Lytechinus pictus: one gene and its partner. The protein of the gene in region 1 purifies or fractionates together with the protein of each later gene. This does not show direct contact. Links are inferred from orthologs where the notes say so. Each region holds a gene or a part of one and is shown in the gene's direction. Other genes may lie near its edges.

Region 1 (7,356 bases):
AGTGATCAGGGCTTCTTTTGTTTGCTTGTCAAAGTGTAAGCAGGAAATAATGACTTTCAAATTTTAGTGACAACCTTTTTTTGTTGTTGTTTTATTTTTTTTTTGCTTGTCAAATTTTAATTCCTTTGAAAAATGTGCCCCCTCCCCTTGGAAAATACTGGATTAGCCCTTAGCAAATAAGCGATACGCGACTACAAAATTAAGAGAAAATAATATTCAAACTTAATAGTAAATAATAAAATTATAAAAGTGAGGTAAAGGGAGGCAGAGGAAGGAGGGAAGGAGGCCGGGATGGTGCAAGTAAAACTGAAAGTTAAAAGAGGAATATCAGTGCATGCACACTGTCTCTGGGCAAGTTGTATCACTCTGTGACTAAATTTTATTGATATTTAGTTCAACGTTAAAGGACAAGTCCACCACAACAAAATGTGGATTTGAATAAAAAGAGAAAAATCCAACAAGCACAACACTGAAAATTACATCAAAATCAGATGTAAAATAAAAAAAGCCTTATGACATTTTTAAGTTTCGCCCATAAATTTCACAAAATATTTATATGCACATCCCGGTTGGTATGCAAATGAGGGAACTGATGACATCACTCGCTCACTCATTTTCTTTTGTATTTTATTATATGAAATATGAAACATTGTAGATCTATTTTTTGTCCTCATTGTCCTGTGAAACAAAGTTTTCTTTCGCCCTGATCGAACACGTGGAATTGCCATTTTTTTACATTTCATGGTTCAGTAAAGTTGGTCTTTATTGTCAAATGACTCAAATCTGTAAATTTAGCAATATTGTACAATTCAAACAATAAAAGACAAAAGAAATAGTGAGTGAGGGACATTGTCGAGTCTTTCATTTACATATGACTAAATCTGTGCATGTAACTATTTTGTGAAAATAAGCGAAAATTTAAAATGTCATAACTTTCTTATTTTACATCTGATTTTGATGAAAATTTCAGCATCATGCTTGTCTGATTTTTCTCTATTGATTCAAATCAACATTTTTCTGAGGTGGACTTAACCTTTAAAGTAATTGTACTTTAATGACGAGGGGGATGAGGCATGATGGTGATGATGATGTGACGATGACGATGATGATGATGATGTAGATGGTGATATCATGACGGGTGACGATGATGAAAAAGATGAAGATGATAATGACTGATGACGATAAGATGGTTATGACGATGGTCCATTTTCCACTTACTTTTCAACTCCGCTTCGAGCTTCTCCCCCCCCCCCCCACTCTCGTCGTTGAAATTGAACTGATCATCTAGCTCATGTATGTTCTGAAAGATCACACTCGCATAGTAGTATACTAATTCACTACTTAAAGGGGAAGTTCGGGGAAATTTATTATAAAAATAGCATTTAAAAAAATTGTTGAAGGTTTTAGGAAATCCATCAAAGATTACAAGTTATTTATCATTTAACCAACGCTCATATCGAAAAGAATCTAAACGTAATATTGAATTAATGAAGCAAGACTTATTACTTGAGGGGTGGGAGGATGTCTATAATGAAACTGACGCAAACACATCGTATAATCTCCTAAATAATAAATTACAACATTATTATGAAAAGAATATTCCCATAGGAAAGGTAAAAAATAATCGAAAAACACCCAAACAACCCTGGATAACAAAAGGTTTATTAAAATCGATACAGACACGTAATTGCCTTTACAAGTCACATTTACGCAATCCTACTGAAGCCAATTTAAAAAAATACAAAGTATATCGCAACAAGTTAACAAAATTAATTCGTTTATCACGTAAAATGTATTATACTAATAGAATAAAAGATGCCAGTTCAAATACTTATACTACCTGGAAAATCATCAAAGAAGTAATGGGAACAAATGCAGATCCCCCACCTACCGATAATATCACTTTAAATGGTACCAAAGTTGACTCTTCCCTTCACGCAAACTCATTCAATTCATTTTTCACAAATATCGGACCCGAACTTGCAAGCAAGATCAATAGCCAAAATGCGCATTTCACGGATTATCTCCCCGAACCTAATCCACATTCATTTTTCTTGAACCCTACGAACCCCACAGAAATTCTCAACATTACAAGGTCTCTTAATAGCTCAAAATCTCATGGGCATGATAAAATTAGTATGTCTCTTTTAAAAGAAATAATTCACCCGCTTGCAAACCCTCTTAGTCATGTTTTTAATAAATCTCTATCACAAGGTATATTTCCTGACTTATTCAAAATCGCCAAAGTCAATCCAATTTTTAAAAAAGACAATCCTCATGAAATAAGCAATTATCGCCCTATATCTCTACTCCCTAGTATATCCAAAATCCTCGAGAAAATAGTATATAATAGACTTTATGAATTTATCAACAAACACAATTTATTAATTTCTAATCAATATGGCTTCAGAAAAAATTATTCAACAAACTTGGCTTTAATTCAAATTTACGATAAAATAACAAACGCCATAGCTAACAAAGAGCATGTCATTGGTATATTTTGTGACCTCAGTAAGGCGTTCGATACACTTAATCATAATATTTTACTTTCAAAACTTAATTATTATGGTATACGAGGTCAATCACTCCTTTGGTTTAAAGATTATTTAATAAATCGAAAACAATATGTCACATTTAATGGCAACGATTCTAGTTCACTTTCAGTTCAATGTGGTGTCCCTCAAGGCTCCATTCTAGGCCCGCTTTTATTTTTATTATATGTCAATGATATTATCAACACATCTTCTATTTTATCATTTGTATTATTTGCTGACGACACAAATATCTTTTTTTCTCATAAAAATATAACTTCCCTAAATAACATATTAAATCTTGAATTGATTAAAGTTTCACAGTGGTTTAAAGCAAACGAACTATCCTTGAACTAAAAAAAGACCCACTTCATCCATTTTAAACATTCTCATATTACCGATACTCCAATTCACTTACAGATTGACGGTACACCATTAGAGCGGAAGACTCACTCTAGATTTTTAGGCGTCATCATAGATCAAGCTTTGTCTTGGAATGAACATCTGCACCATATCATTATATGTATCTCGAGAAATATTGGAATAATTTCCAAGTTGAAATTTATTTTACCTCATAAAACTTTACTTCTATTGTATAATTCGTTAATACTCCCGTATATAACATATTGTAACGTTGTTTGGGCTAATTGTGGTTCCACAAAACTTACTTCTATTTCTAAATTACAAAAAAGAGCAATTCGCATTTGTACAGGATCGCATTATTTGGCTCACACCGATCCTTTATTTTTTAAACAAAAGACATTAAAAATTGCCGACTTATATACTATTCAAATAGCTATAATTATGTTTAAATATATTAACAATCTGCTCCCTTCGTCTTTTGATAACATGTTTAAATTTAATAGTTCTGTCCATACTTACCCAACGCGCATATCCGGAAACTTTCATCTCTCTAACCCCAGACTGTTAATTGCCTCTAAATCAATTCGACATCATGGTCCAGACATTTGGAATGATCTTCCAAACAATATTAAAACTTGTTCTACCATATACTCATTAAAAGCCACTCTAAAGAAAACTATCATTCAATCTTATCAACCCCTCGCTCCAAATTAAAACATTCACTCAAATATCCACATTCGCTATTTAACATTCTGATTTTACTCAACTGCTATACAGCACCTGCACCTGCAATGCACCCACTTGACCAGTAAATATCAATCTAAGTCACGAATCTTTTTATGAGGCCGCCATCAATTCAAGCCTAACCGCTCACGATGGTGGTCTCCTGCGTTCATTTATTACATTATATATATATGTTTACATTTATAAAAGATTAATTTATACTCACACTCTTATTTGTATTTATCATGTAATATGACTACATTGTTTATATTGTGAATTATTTTGTATATTGTAATTGTAAATATTTTTGTATTGTGTTTTTGAACGCAGAAATAAATGCAAGCAAACAAGCAAACAAACTTTTATTTACATGCATAAGCTTCCCCATATTTTTTGTAAAAAAACAATGGCTTGTCACTTTCATTTTTTTTGGTCACCTTTAGTATATCAATATAGACAATAATTATTTCACAAGGCCGCTCCTAAAAGAAAAAAAAAAGTTTAATCATCATGAACCATTAAAAGATTGAAATTAAAAAAATACGGGGCAGCTGCTCGTATATGACGTAAAAATCTAAAACTTAAAATTCTTATGACTTTCTTAATTTTTTTATGGATTTCCATCAAACCTTCACCAATATATATTTTTTTCTGGTACAAAGTTCTCTTCCCAAATTGTGCTCCACTTATCAAATTGGCCACGCATTATTTGCTACCAATAATAGGCTGCTCACTTCGCAAGCTTACCCAATCAAAAACAATGTCAATCAGCTGGCGTGAATTCAAAATATTGTGCGTGCATGATATTTCATGATCGACAACCTTAACCACGGACGACCATCGACCACACATTTTTTTACAATCGTGGCATTCAAACGCCAAGATGCCTTCAAAATTGAGCGATTATGATATTCTTTATACGATCGGGAGTGGCTCTTACGGGAAATGCAGAAAAGTACGTCGGAAAAGCGACGGAAAGGTAAGTAAACTTTTTTATTCTCGGCTCGAGCCGAGGCTCGGCTTCTAAGTTCTTGCTTGCGCCTTGCGCTTGGCGGGCATTTAAATAGTGTGTGGTGGGGAGGATACCGGTATGGTACTAGGCTACCTGCGGCGGGACGATCGCGAGCGAGCCTGCGATGCGGCGAAGGTCGCTTAGCTCTGGCTGCACTGACTAGACAACATTGTTGTCTCTAAAATACTCGGTATGTGTGGGCCTATGGCATCTCGTCTCAGGCTTCATGGAGAGTAAGCCTACGTACAGTATAGACAGGAATAACCGTCGTTTCTGGGGATTTATTCAACAATTTCTGACATTTTACTGTAATCCCCATTTATGATTTACCACTCTAGGCGACACCGCAATACTTACCCGTGCTAATAAAGTGGGACTCCGCTCACGCGCGTTTGGGCCTCCCTAGCTTAGAACTAAGCAATATTATCTAGAAATTGTTACATTGTAGTCATTAAGTATGTTCTATTAAATAAATTGATAATGTTTAATCGGTACTCACCGGTTCTTTTGTTGCATTTTCAGACCATTTCTCACAATTCTTCGTAAATATTTGCGGCAAATTTTGTCGCCATAGACAGCCTTAGCATCCATCTTTATTGATAAATGGAGCGCCCTTTACGATAGTTGTTAATGCCGCGGAGAAATCGTTAGGCATTTTGGCCTGTGTTCAAGGCGTTCTTTCTGTTTTATTTTTTATATTGAAGATTGTGCATTTGTTGAATAGCGCCGTCTACGTCAGGTATGAGATCGAGTGTATAAATACACTCTTCCAAAATAATTATGATTCCGACCTGGCGCTGTTTAACTTCAATCTCTTTCACCTAAATTAGCGATGAATGCTAGCATTATAAAATATATATTATTAACGTCTGACGAAAAGAATAACCAACCGATCAGCTGACGAGAACGCGAATCACGTGATCTTCATATCAGCTTCGATCGCGAGTCAGAAGAGAAGAGCAGCTGCCCAGAAAATCAGGAAAAAGCCGTGAAAATGTAAGTTCCCCTTCATTTCTTTCATTTTTTGTTGTTGCTAACGATGCATTTACACTCTAAAATTATAATTTAAATAAGAGAAAGGAATATAGCTTGCACTTGTGATATAATATATAAATATCCTGTTCTCAGAGATTTCTAACCAAAAATACTACTGATGTCGCCTATGAGGTCCATACATGTAATGTTGGACCTCATTGGTACTAGGAGTGCCATTTACCTACGGTAGGGTGTACGTGTGGGCTCGCATGTGTTCTCATTCCCTCCCTTTTGTCAATTCACAGTCCAAAGTTTGATGTAATTTTACACATCGAATTTACAATCTAAGGATGTATAAACAACAAACTTTTAGACCTTGATATTCTAACATTTAAATACTTTAAACGATATAGATGAAAAAGGCATGAAAAATATACTTTACCGATGTTTAATTGGGTTGAACACGATAAAAATGGTCAAACACGATAAAAATGGTCAAAATGGCAGCCAAACTATAAAATATTTACAAACGAACGTCAACAATCACGAATGTGATATCGATATTGCTTTCGATATTATACGATCTGCTCCATATGCGAACGAAACCGAAGATAAACGATACTAGTTATACTAGTACTAGTACTAGTTATAATCGCGATATATCGATTCGAGACATTAAGTTAATACGATAATGACGTCATTCAAGATGGCAACTTGCAAGAAAAACCGTCAGGTCAGGTGAAAATGTCTTAGATGACAGATTTCTCAATCATCCAGAGGATTTTTTTCAATAACTCCGGCCCAAGGTATGCAATTACTTAAGTTATTTATATTTCCCTGATAATGGAAACCATGAAACTTTCAATTTTGCTTAAAAAACAGTTTTAAATCGCGATCTATAAAACGCTAGTTCACTATACGTTGGCTGTAGGTACGGGGCCCCATCCCCTTCAGTCTATGTATGGTGAGTGGAGCCAACGTAGTTCAGCGGAACAACCAAAATACAGAGACTGAAGCTTTTGGTCTACGTACAGTAGTACTTTTACTCTCCAGAAGCTTCCAGGCTACTCTGCACTGACCCGAAAACCTGGGCCCTGGCTTATTATTATGTCTTTAAGTTTTGATCAAGACAGTTACAAAAATATTCATCAGGGCTGATAAATTATTCACATTTTAGTACATACCAAGTGAATAACTGGCAAATTGCATTAATTGCCAGCAACGAGCAAGATCGGAAAGATTATTGATGAAAATGTGATTGCAATTGGCAATTGATTGACATGTCATATCATGCCATGATTGTTGCTTGAGAAATTGAGCCAGGGACAGGGCGATTTCAAACTTCTATTTACTCTATACCGATCAACGAGTGAGCAGTGTCTTGGAAAACTGTTAGTGTTAGTAGGATGGGGGGTCGGGTGTCCGGACACTTTATATTTTTGAAGCCTTCTTTTTTGTCTTTGTATTACACTAAAATATGAATTCAATACTTGTAATCATCTTCTATTTTGTTCTTTATAATATTTCCTAACATTTTGTACTAAAAAATTACGAAACTTCGCTTGTAAATTCTTCCAAATGACTTTCTAAAATTGATCGTCCGGACACACAACCTGTCCGGACACGCAACAACTGGGTATACTGTCTGTAGTGTGTTCTATCTTCGCGGACAAAGACCATGAAGACACACTGAGTGACACAAGTTTTGCTGAGATTTAAACAAAAAGTCGAGCTCAGAAGCCTTTATTATTC
Region 2 (8,109 bases), about 3.5 Mb from region 1:
TGAAGGTCTGGTTACATGTACAGTACATGTGTATAGTACACTCTATATAATCCCTACCAAGTGCAAATATCACTTTGTGCTGATTTGTCTCCATGTACATATTCTGTGCATGCAGGATGAAAGATCTTTTCATTTTGTTTTTAAAGAATAAATCACACCCATGTGGTTCTTTCTTCTAACTTAAAATCCATTATAAGAGAAGTGAAATGAAAAGTGTAAGAAATTAATTAATTTCAACACAACCACATACTTTACTCTACATGGAGCTACCCTACATGTACAGGTGTACATGTACATGTAGGACAGGGGCTGCGGAACGGTTTTCAAAGTGGGGGGGGGGCTGACCATGCAAAAAATCACAATCATATAGCCATTTTTACGTTTTTGTACACGGTTTTGGAAAAAAGTGGGGGGGGGGGCTGAGAAGCACACTGAATTCTCAAAGAAATGATGAATGTATGATTAGGGCCTATACATGTACATCATATCTATAGACAACATTCTGAACAAACATGCTTTTTAGATGTTGGCAGTGCTGGCTTTCCATAGTTGTGGTTGATCGGATCAATCACAGCTCTTTGCAAGATGGGGCCCAGATGTACATTGATACAAAACTTATCAAAAGAGGGTGCTATTCCAAAACCTCAAGCTAACCTCAAGCTAACATGATACTGTACCATGTCCAAACAAATATTAGGCTGGTACACAGTTACACGTAGACGCAAGGTTTTGGTCTGCTGCATAAAATAGGAGTACTACCTTCATTTATGAACAAAACATTATAATACATTGCACATAATAAACCCTCATACAGCTTGTCCCAGAAAAGAAAATAAAGAATTGTCTTAATTTAATCACAAATATTATTAACAAATATGCCAAGGCCATGAACCAGGGCATCGCAAATTTGGTCTAAAAAATTGCTTTAGACTTGAAAGAAAAAAGTCATGAAATGAAACATGCAAACATTTCACATCGGAGATTTTAGGGTTGAACATGCCATAATTTGAACATTTATAATTATTAAAAAATACATGCACCTTCCTATTCATTCTAAACACTAACTTACAATTCTTTTAATAACTTTAAAAATGCTGCCGCTGGAGGAAAAGCAACTCCTCTATCTACTTCAACTATGCAGGAGAGGCAAAAATGAAGTATTTGGGCAATTCCACAAGTTGGTGGAAAAGAAATAAACAACTAAATGATCAAACAAAATCATTTTTTTCCGTTTTTGGTTTCCCTGATTTCCATAGGATCTCAAACCATATCAGTAAACTTGCCAAGTGCTGTGCAACTAGAGAGAAAAAAACCCCATGAAGTTGCAAATTAAACATGGTTTCTTTGGTATGGTTTTCATAAAAATTGTGATGAAGGAGAAACATTTCTATACTCTCTTAAAGGCCATGTCACCCTTGGACAAAATGGAAAGCAAGCAACCATGTTTCCCATCTCTTACACAAAAAATAAATATTGCTCTCTGATTTTACAACATATGAGGTTTCCATCTTTCCTTAGAATTTTCCATCTTTCCTAAGAACACATTCAACTCAATTCAATTCATTTTCCACATATTGAGTAAAAAACATACAATATCAGTAGGCCTACAATCAAATACATCCTAGATAATTACAATACAAACTAGTTATAATATGGCGTACATAAAAAAAGACGTAGAAAATCAAAATGTGAAGGGGATTGACAAAGGCCATATTGATCTGTCAAGGTCAATCCCCAATGAAAAGAAAAATGGATTAAAAATGGAATACATAAATTACATATGAGAAGAGATACTTGACCTCAAAACCCCAGATAAAGTAAAAGACAGTAAAAGACGAATGAAGGGGAGGGAGGGGCAAATATAAAACTACCTTAAGGAGTAAGAAGGGAAATTTTATATCTATGTTTGAAGGAGTGTGGAGTGTGGGGAAATGTTTGAGTTCATTTGATAAAGAATTCCAAAGTTTGGGTCCGACATATATATTGAATAGTGTTTCGTGAAAATGTGCATTTCAAATTTGGAATAAAGAGATCATTAGCTTGTCTGGTTAGACAAGTTAACATCTTGTCATATTGCTGTCCAAGAAACATGAGTAACCAACCCAAAAAAAACAACCAACATTGTGTCTCTGAGCGCTTTACATGTTCATATTCCCCCCCCCCCCCGAGTCCCCGATCACAGGATTCCGACATGCCCGCACACAATGTATGCACTTTCTCTATACCCTGGGGAGCATTTCAACAACAGTTCCAAGACTCAATTGCTAGGCCTACTACATAGGCTTTCGCATCCTACCGGGTACCCATTTAGGGTTTATTATTTATTTCCAATTCTTCTAATGCCAATTCATCCAATTGCCAACTCGTCTACTATCATTTGGTCTACCATTAGTTCGTCCACTCACCACATGGTCTACTTTCATTTAGTCTAATGCCATTCCGTCTAATAACCAGTTGGTCCAATAGCCATTTAGTCCATATACCATTTGGTCTAATTGGACTAAGTGTTAAATTGTGCAAAATGAATGAAAATGAAATGGATATTAGACCAACTGGTTATGAGACGACAACACTTCCACTCAAATTTCCATTCCAATGCATAGCAGTTTTCTCTTCTCAAGAAAAAAACCAGAATCACCACTCCAAAACATAGATGGGGCATTCCATCGAGTCAGTCGCATTTCATCTTTGCTGGTCAAAACTTGTCATTGTTACAAGGGCGAGTCTCTCTGTCAACTTTAACTTGAAATCAAAGCTTTATGAGCAAACTGACCAACATGATTATGTTCCTTCATGAACTGTGTGTTAGAAAAAAAAACTAGTCTCAAATTATATACCTTTTGACATAACCTGATAATAATACAGAGAATATTAAAGTAGCATTATATTAATTACATTTAAAGAGAATTAAATTGTTGAGAAGAGGAAATGCACTTGTTTTCTATTTGGTAATTAATGCTCTATGAATGTACTGCATAGTGAATTTTTAAATCATTCATGTAGACATAACACTACTCAGAATGGTGCATTATGGGTTCGGTGCATTATGGGTTCGGAGACTGGCCAGATTAGAGTATGGCAGTGGATTGTATTACCAAACACTTTTCATGAATTCAATCATATCAAACACATTATTCTCATAAAATTCACCAAACTTTTAACATAAATACACAATTACCTACAAAATATAAATATGTGAAAATTTTGCCGAAATTGTTTTTCCTTTTTACGATATTAGCTTCTAATCGGACCCCTCTTTGCACGTGAAATATTTTGGTCACTTGAAAAAGGTATCGTATTACCGAACGTGTTTTTTCTATGGGAAAAGTTGAGAAAACAACAAAAACACTTATGAGCTATTTTGACCATATTTTATTATTGTTAGAATATTAAGACTTTGAAAATGTGTTTTTGACCATTTATCATCAATTTCTATTCAAGTTCTCTTTGGAAAGATGTTGCAAAATTTTGAGCGTATGAATTTATTTTCTGATGCGTATGATGCGTGCGTTCGGTAATACAAGGCCGGTTGGTAATACAATCACTCACTATACTACTTTAGAGTACTAGGCTGCTGGATCATACTTGCATATGAGGAAAAAGCTGCAGGCTGTATGCAAAGACATCCTAAGAATTGGATAGCCGATCATAGCCCCATTAGAAAAATGTACATGACAAAGAATTAACTAATTACTTTCTTACTCAAATCTGAACACTTTTACCAATTTCACATCAGAGCACGATTTTCACATTGATAGGTCTATCTCTTGTAATTTTTGTTTAAAAAAAACCAAAACTTATGGGTCTGTCCCATCACAGTTTGTCCAGCACCAAAAAAAAAATGCAATTTCAACACTTCAAGCAACTTCTATTTGCATATTTTCTTTTCCACTGATGTTACAGAAATGACCCTAAAAATATCAAAATGATTAATGAAATTCCAAAGAAAAGGTCATGATTCTGATTCCCACTCCATGAGTGCAGTGGAGGCAAGCCCTAATGTTTATAGATCGCCTTCTTCTTCTTGTTTTTTCTTGAAGTGAACTACCTGGAGTTAGGCCTACCTTGAAGGCTTTTCTTCATCAACAGTTTGTCAGTAGTTCCATAGACCGCCCTTTTCAGAATTAGCCTGTTCCAATCGAGCCTATTTTTAATTTCGCTCCCAGCATTATGCAGTTATAAATGCTCCACTTTTTTGGGGTTGAGTGCCAATTCCCTGCCCCCTGAACGCACATTATTCAAAGGTATAAGTGCACAAGGAATCTAAATCATATGGATAAGAATTAAGATAACTAATGCGTTTACGCGTTAGTTAGCTTCACCTTTGAGAGGAGAAGGGGGAGAACCCCTCCGGAGATCATGTGATCAACTGATATTGTCAATATTACCATTATTGATAGCGCTGATTGATGTCAACCAAAAATTTGCGAAAATGAAATCTGCAGTTTGCATCCTCCATCTCACATCCAACATTCTCATCTGGGCAAAGAATGGTTTGCCAAGATTCAATGGATATGGCTGCCTCTGGAAAATATTATAAAGTGCAATAAAGCCTAATAAAGGGATTAAAAGTTACATTCTACAAAAACTAAAGCCAACAATACAGTCTATACACACACAAACATACATTACATACTGCACGCTCACTCTCAGCTCTGGTACACAATCGGCCTCGCTGAGATTAGGCCGTAAACGCAAGGGAAGGGACCTCCCCATTATTAACACAATACACATGTGGAACAACACACGTCGAAGGGATCAAACGCAACATCAAGGGGGCTCAAAATGCACAATCCAGACAATATAAGACTATCTATTTAATTGAGATTATCATAAACAATTGGGTTTATTATTACAAGTCACGTCACAATTTCAAACATGAATGGTTTGGGGTAAAACAAATGAAAAATACATACCAAAGCGTCCACTATCCGGAAATTTATGGGTACCGCTCGCGATCGCGTTTTCCGATCAACGCTAATTTACATGCCAGATTCTGAACGCAGATGGCGACATTCCACAAATCCGAACGATCGATCCGAAACGTGCAATTATATCGAAGCGGTAAATTAGATTTGTCTTGATTGAGCCCTGAGTTGATGTCAACTCCGCCCGTGAAAATACTTGAATTGTCTTTTTCAGATTCATGTGAGACTATTGAATTAGAGGGAAAGCTGGAAGACGAGGTACAGTATGATTTTCTGAAGAATTGATTATGGAATACTTCCAGACTAACGTTAGATTGAAATTCAAATTATTATCATCGACCTGCATCACGTCACCTCAGGCTCAGTCCCACACCCTTTGGCTTAACTTCCTTAAGTTTTGCTCGATGCTCATTCTGAATTTTAACATTGTGACAAGTTAACGTTAGAATATTATATCTAATTTATTACACTCTATTGACAATTTATTTTCAGTAACTTTAAAGTTTGCAATGACCTTCTCTGATTTAAGGATATATTTTAAAGTGGTTCTTTTTTAGTGACATTTGCCATTTGATTCAAGTGACAAGTTTCAACACCCATTTTTTTTCATTGAATAAAACAAAAATGAATAAAAATGGGTGTTTATTACATAATGGCATAACAGACAGGCCAGAGGGAGGCAGTCTGACCCCAGCTCCTGGAAGATTTTTACCTGGAAATTCAAAAATACAAGTGGAATAATGAAAGGAAAGGAGACTAAAGACATGGAGAGAAGAAAGAAATAAAATTAAAACTTAAAAGAGGGATGTGAAGAGGGGAGAGGAGAAAGAAGAGAAAATACATGAAAGGGAAAGGAATAGCAAGGAATAATTTTCCTGGTATCGATCGCAATTTGCTCCACACTTTTGAAAGACTGCTATGCCAGGGCTCCACACTAACCCTTTTTTTCTACTGGTCCAACCTATTCATGTCGGACCAGTAGATACCCAGTTTTTCCATTTTTTACTGGTCCGAACCTAAAATCTACTGGTCCCCAAAATAAAGAAAACATTAAAAAAAGGCGTGAGTTTATTTTGCTGTCCTTTCTTGTTACCCCCCCCCCCAAAAAAAATGAAGGAATGAAAGAAACAAAGGAAGAAATAATAAAAGAAAGGAAGGAAGAACAAATAAAAGGTAAAGAAAGGATAGATGTGAAGGAAGGAAAAAAGAAAGAACAAAAGAAAAAAAGGAAAAACAAAAGACAGAAAGTAATGAAAAAAGGAAAGAAGCAATAAAATAAGAAAGAAAGGGTATAAGGAAAGAAGGAAAAAAGATAGAAAGAAAGAAAGGAAGAAAAAGGGTAAATAAAGGATAAATGTGAAGGAAGGAAAAAAAGAAAGAACTGAAGAGGGAAAGGAAGGAAGGAAAGAAAGAACAAAAATAAGAAAGAAAGAACAAAAGAAAAAAGAAATAAAGGAATGAAGGAAAGAAAGAAAGAAGGAAAGAAATGAAGCAAGCAATATAGAAAGAAAGAACAAAAGAAGGAAAGAAGCAATAAAAAAAGAAAGAAAGGGTAAAAGGAGAGATGGAAAGAAGGAAAAAAGAAAGAAAGTATTGAAAGAAGGAAGAAATAAAGAAAGGTAAAATGATAGATAGAAGGAAGGAAGCAAGCAAGCAATAGAAAAAAGAAAGAAAATGTAAAATAGATGAAAGTAAGAAAAAAAAGAAAGACCGAAAGACAAAGAAAGGAAGGAATGAGGGAAAAAAAGAACGAAAGAAGAAAGGAAAGGAAGCAAGCAGTAAAAAAAAAAAAAAAAAAAGTAAAAGGATAGATGGAATGAAGGGAAAAAAGAAAGGAAGGAATGAATGAAAGAAAGAGAGAAAGGGCTGAAAGAAGGAAGAAATAAAAAACAAGAAATGGTAAAGAAAGGATGGATGGAATGAAGAAAGAAACAAAGAATGAAGGAAAGAAAGGGTAAAAAGAAGGAAAGGAAGAAAGAAAGAAGAGATAAATATAGGATGGATGGACTCAAGAATAAAAGAAAGAAAGAAATCAAAAAAGAAAGAGAAAAAGAAATAGAGAAAAATGTTAAAAGGACAGAAAGAATGAAAGAACGAAAGACAAAGAATAATTAAAAAAGAAAGACAGTAACAAAAAAAATTAAAGAAGAGAGGGAAGAAACAAAGAAAGATTGAAAAGAAAGAAGGAAAGAAAGATAGAAAGAAAACAGAGGAAGAAAGCTAAAACTATCATAAATAAATTATCAGTTTCTTTTTGGCTCAATTAAGATATAGCTACGAAAGAAACCAAGTGTATCAACACACACACAAATGCATATGTGGGGCTATCATGTATTCAGACGATATCACTCGAAACCCGATCTCTTTGAACTAAAACAGAAGTGAAAATTTCTCCTTTTACTGCTTACAAATGACAGTTACCCCAATTTTTTGGAAATATGGACATTATAAGAGCTTTTCATTAGTGTGAAATGTGAATTTTGACCGTTCTGTGAGAGATTTCTGCCAGAGGTTTGCCAAGCTTCGTTCGTGCAGCCAGTAGAAAATTCACCATGTGGGCTGTGTGGCTGGCTAGCCATATGTACACTGTATGTTACCCTAGTAAAAATTGCATGCGATTCATTCTGTGTGTGAATGACCAAATTTAACGGGAGGAAAATGGTTTGCAATTTGAGTCATGGAATATTTTTTATGTTTATGTTGGACTAGTGAATTTGACCATTTCTGGAAAAGTTACTGGCCCAACAATGGTTTTTATTACTGTTTATGTCGGACCCATAAATCTTGCTATTTTTGGAAAAATTACCGGCCCGACAATGATATTTTCTTACTGGTCTTGTCGGACCAGTAAATCTTGCTATTTCTGAAAATCTACCGGCCCGACAGTGATTTTTACCGGTCTGGGACCGTCGGACCGGCGCTAGTGTCGAGCCCTGGCTATGCCAAGGCTATGCATATAAATCTTTTGTATAGCATACTGCATATTTTTACATAGGACTACTTTACTTTAGTTGAGAGCTTTTCTCTTAAAAAGTCTTATGACCCAAAATGCTAAATTCAAATAATGTAGTGTACTGAAAAATTATTCCCTGAATAGAAGAGGAAAGGAAAGGAAGAAAATGGAAAGGAAAAAGGAGCATTTAACAAAGGTAATAAAAAGAAAGGGAAATGGAAGGAAAGA

The links. Proteins that work in one complex are often made in the same cells at the same time.
Region 2: the proteins of serine/threonine-protein kinase Nek2-like (region 1) and anaphase-promoting complex subunit 1-like purify together in Homo sapiens (affinity purification with mass spectrometry; 3 studies listed by BioGRID and IntAct, with this or other methods). This does not show direct contact. The link is inferred for Lytechinus pictus from reciprocal best matches to the Homo sapiens genes NEK2 and ANAPC1.

The regions. Positions count from the first base shown.
Region 1 is NC_087251.1:48,003,942-48,011,297, reverse strand, and holds the start of serine/threonine-protein kinase Nek2-like, read left to right. Parts: upstream 1-4,299; 5' UTR 4,300-4,500; coding exon 4,501-4,596; intron 4,597-7,356. UniProt on the Homo sapiens protein: Protein kinase which is involved in the control of centrosome separation and bipolar spindle formation in mitotic cells and chromatin condensation in meiotic cells.
Region 2 is NC_087251.1:44,500,717-44,508,825, reverse strand, and holds the start of anaphase-promoting complex subunit 1-like, read left to right. Parts: upstream 1-5,004; 5' UTR 5,005-5,099; coding exon 5,100-5,186; intron 5,187-8,109. UniProt on the Homo sapiens protein: Component of the anaphase promoting complex/cyclosome (APC/C), a cell cycle-regulated E3 ubiquitin ligase that controls progression through mitosis and the G1 phase of the cell cycle.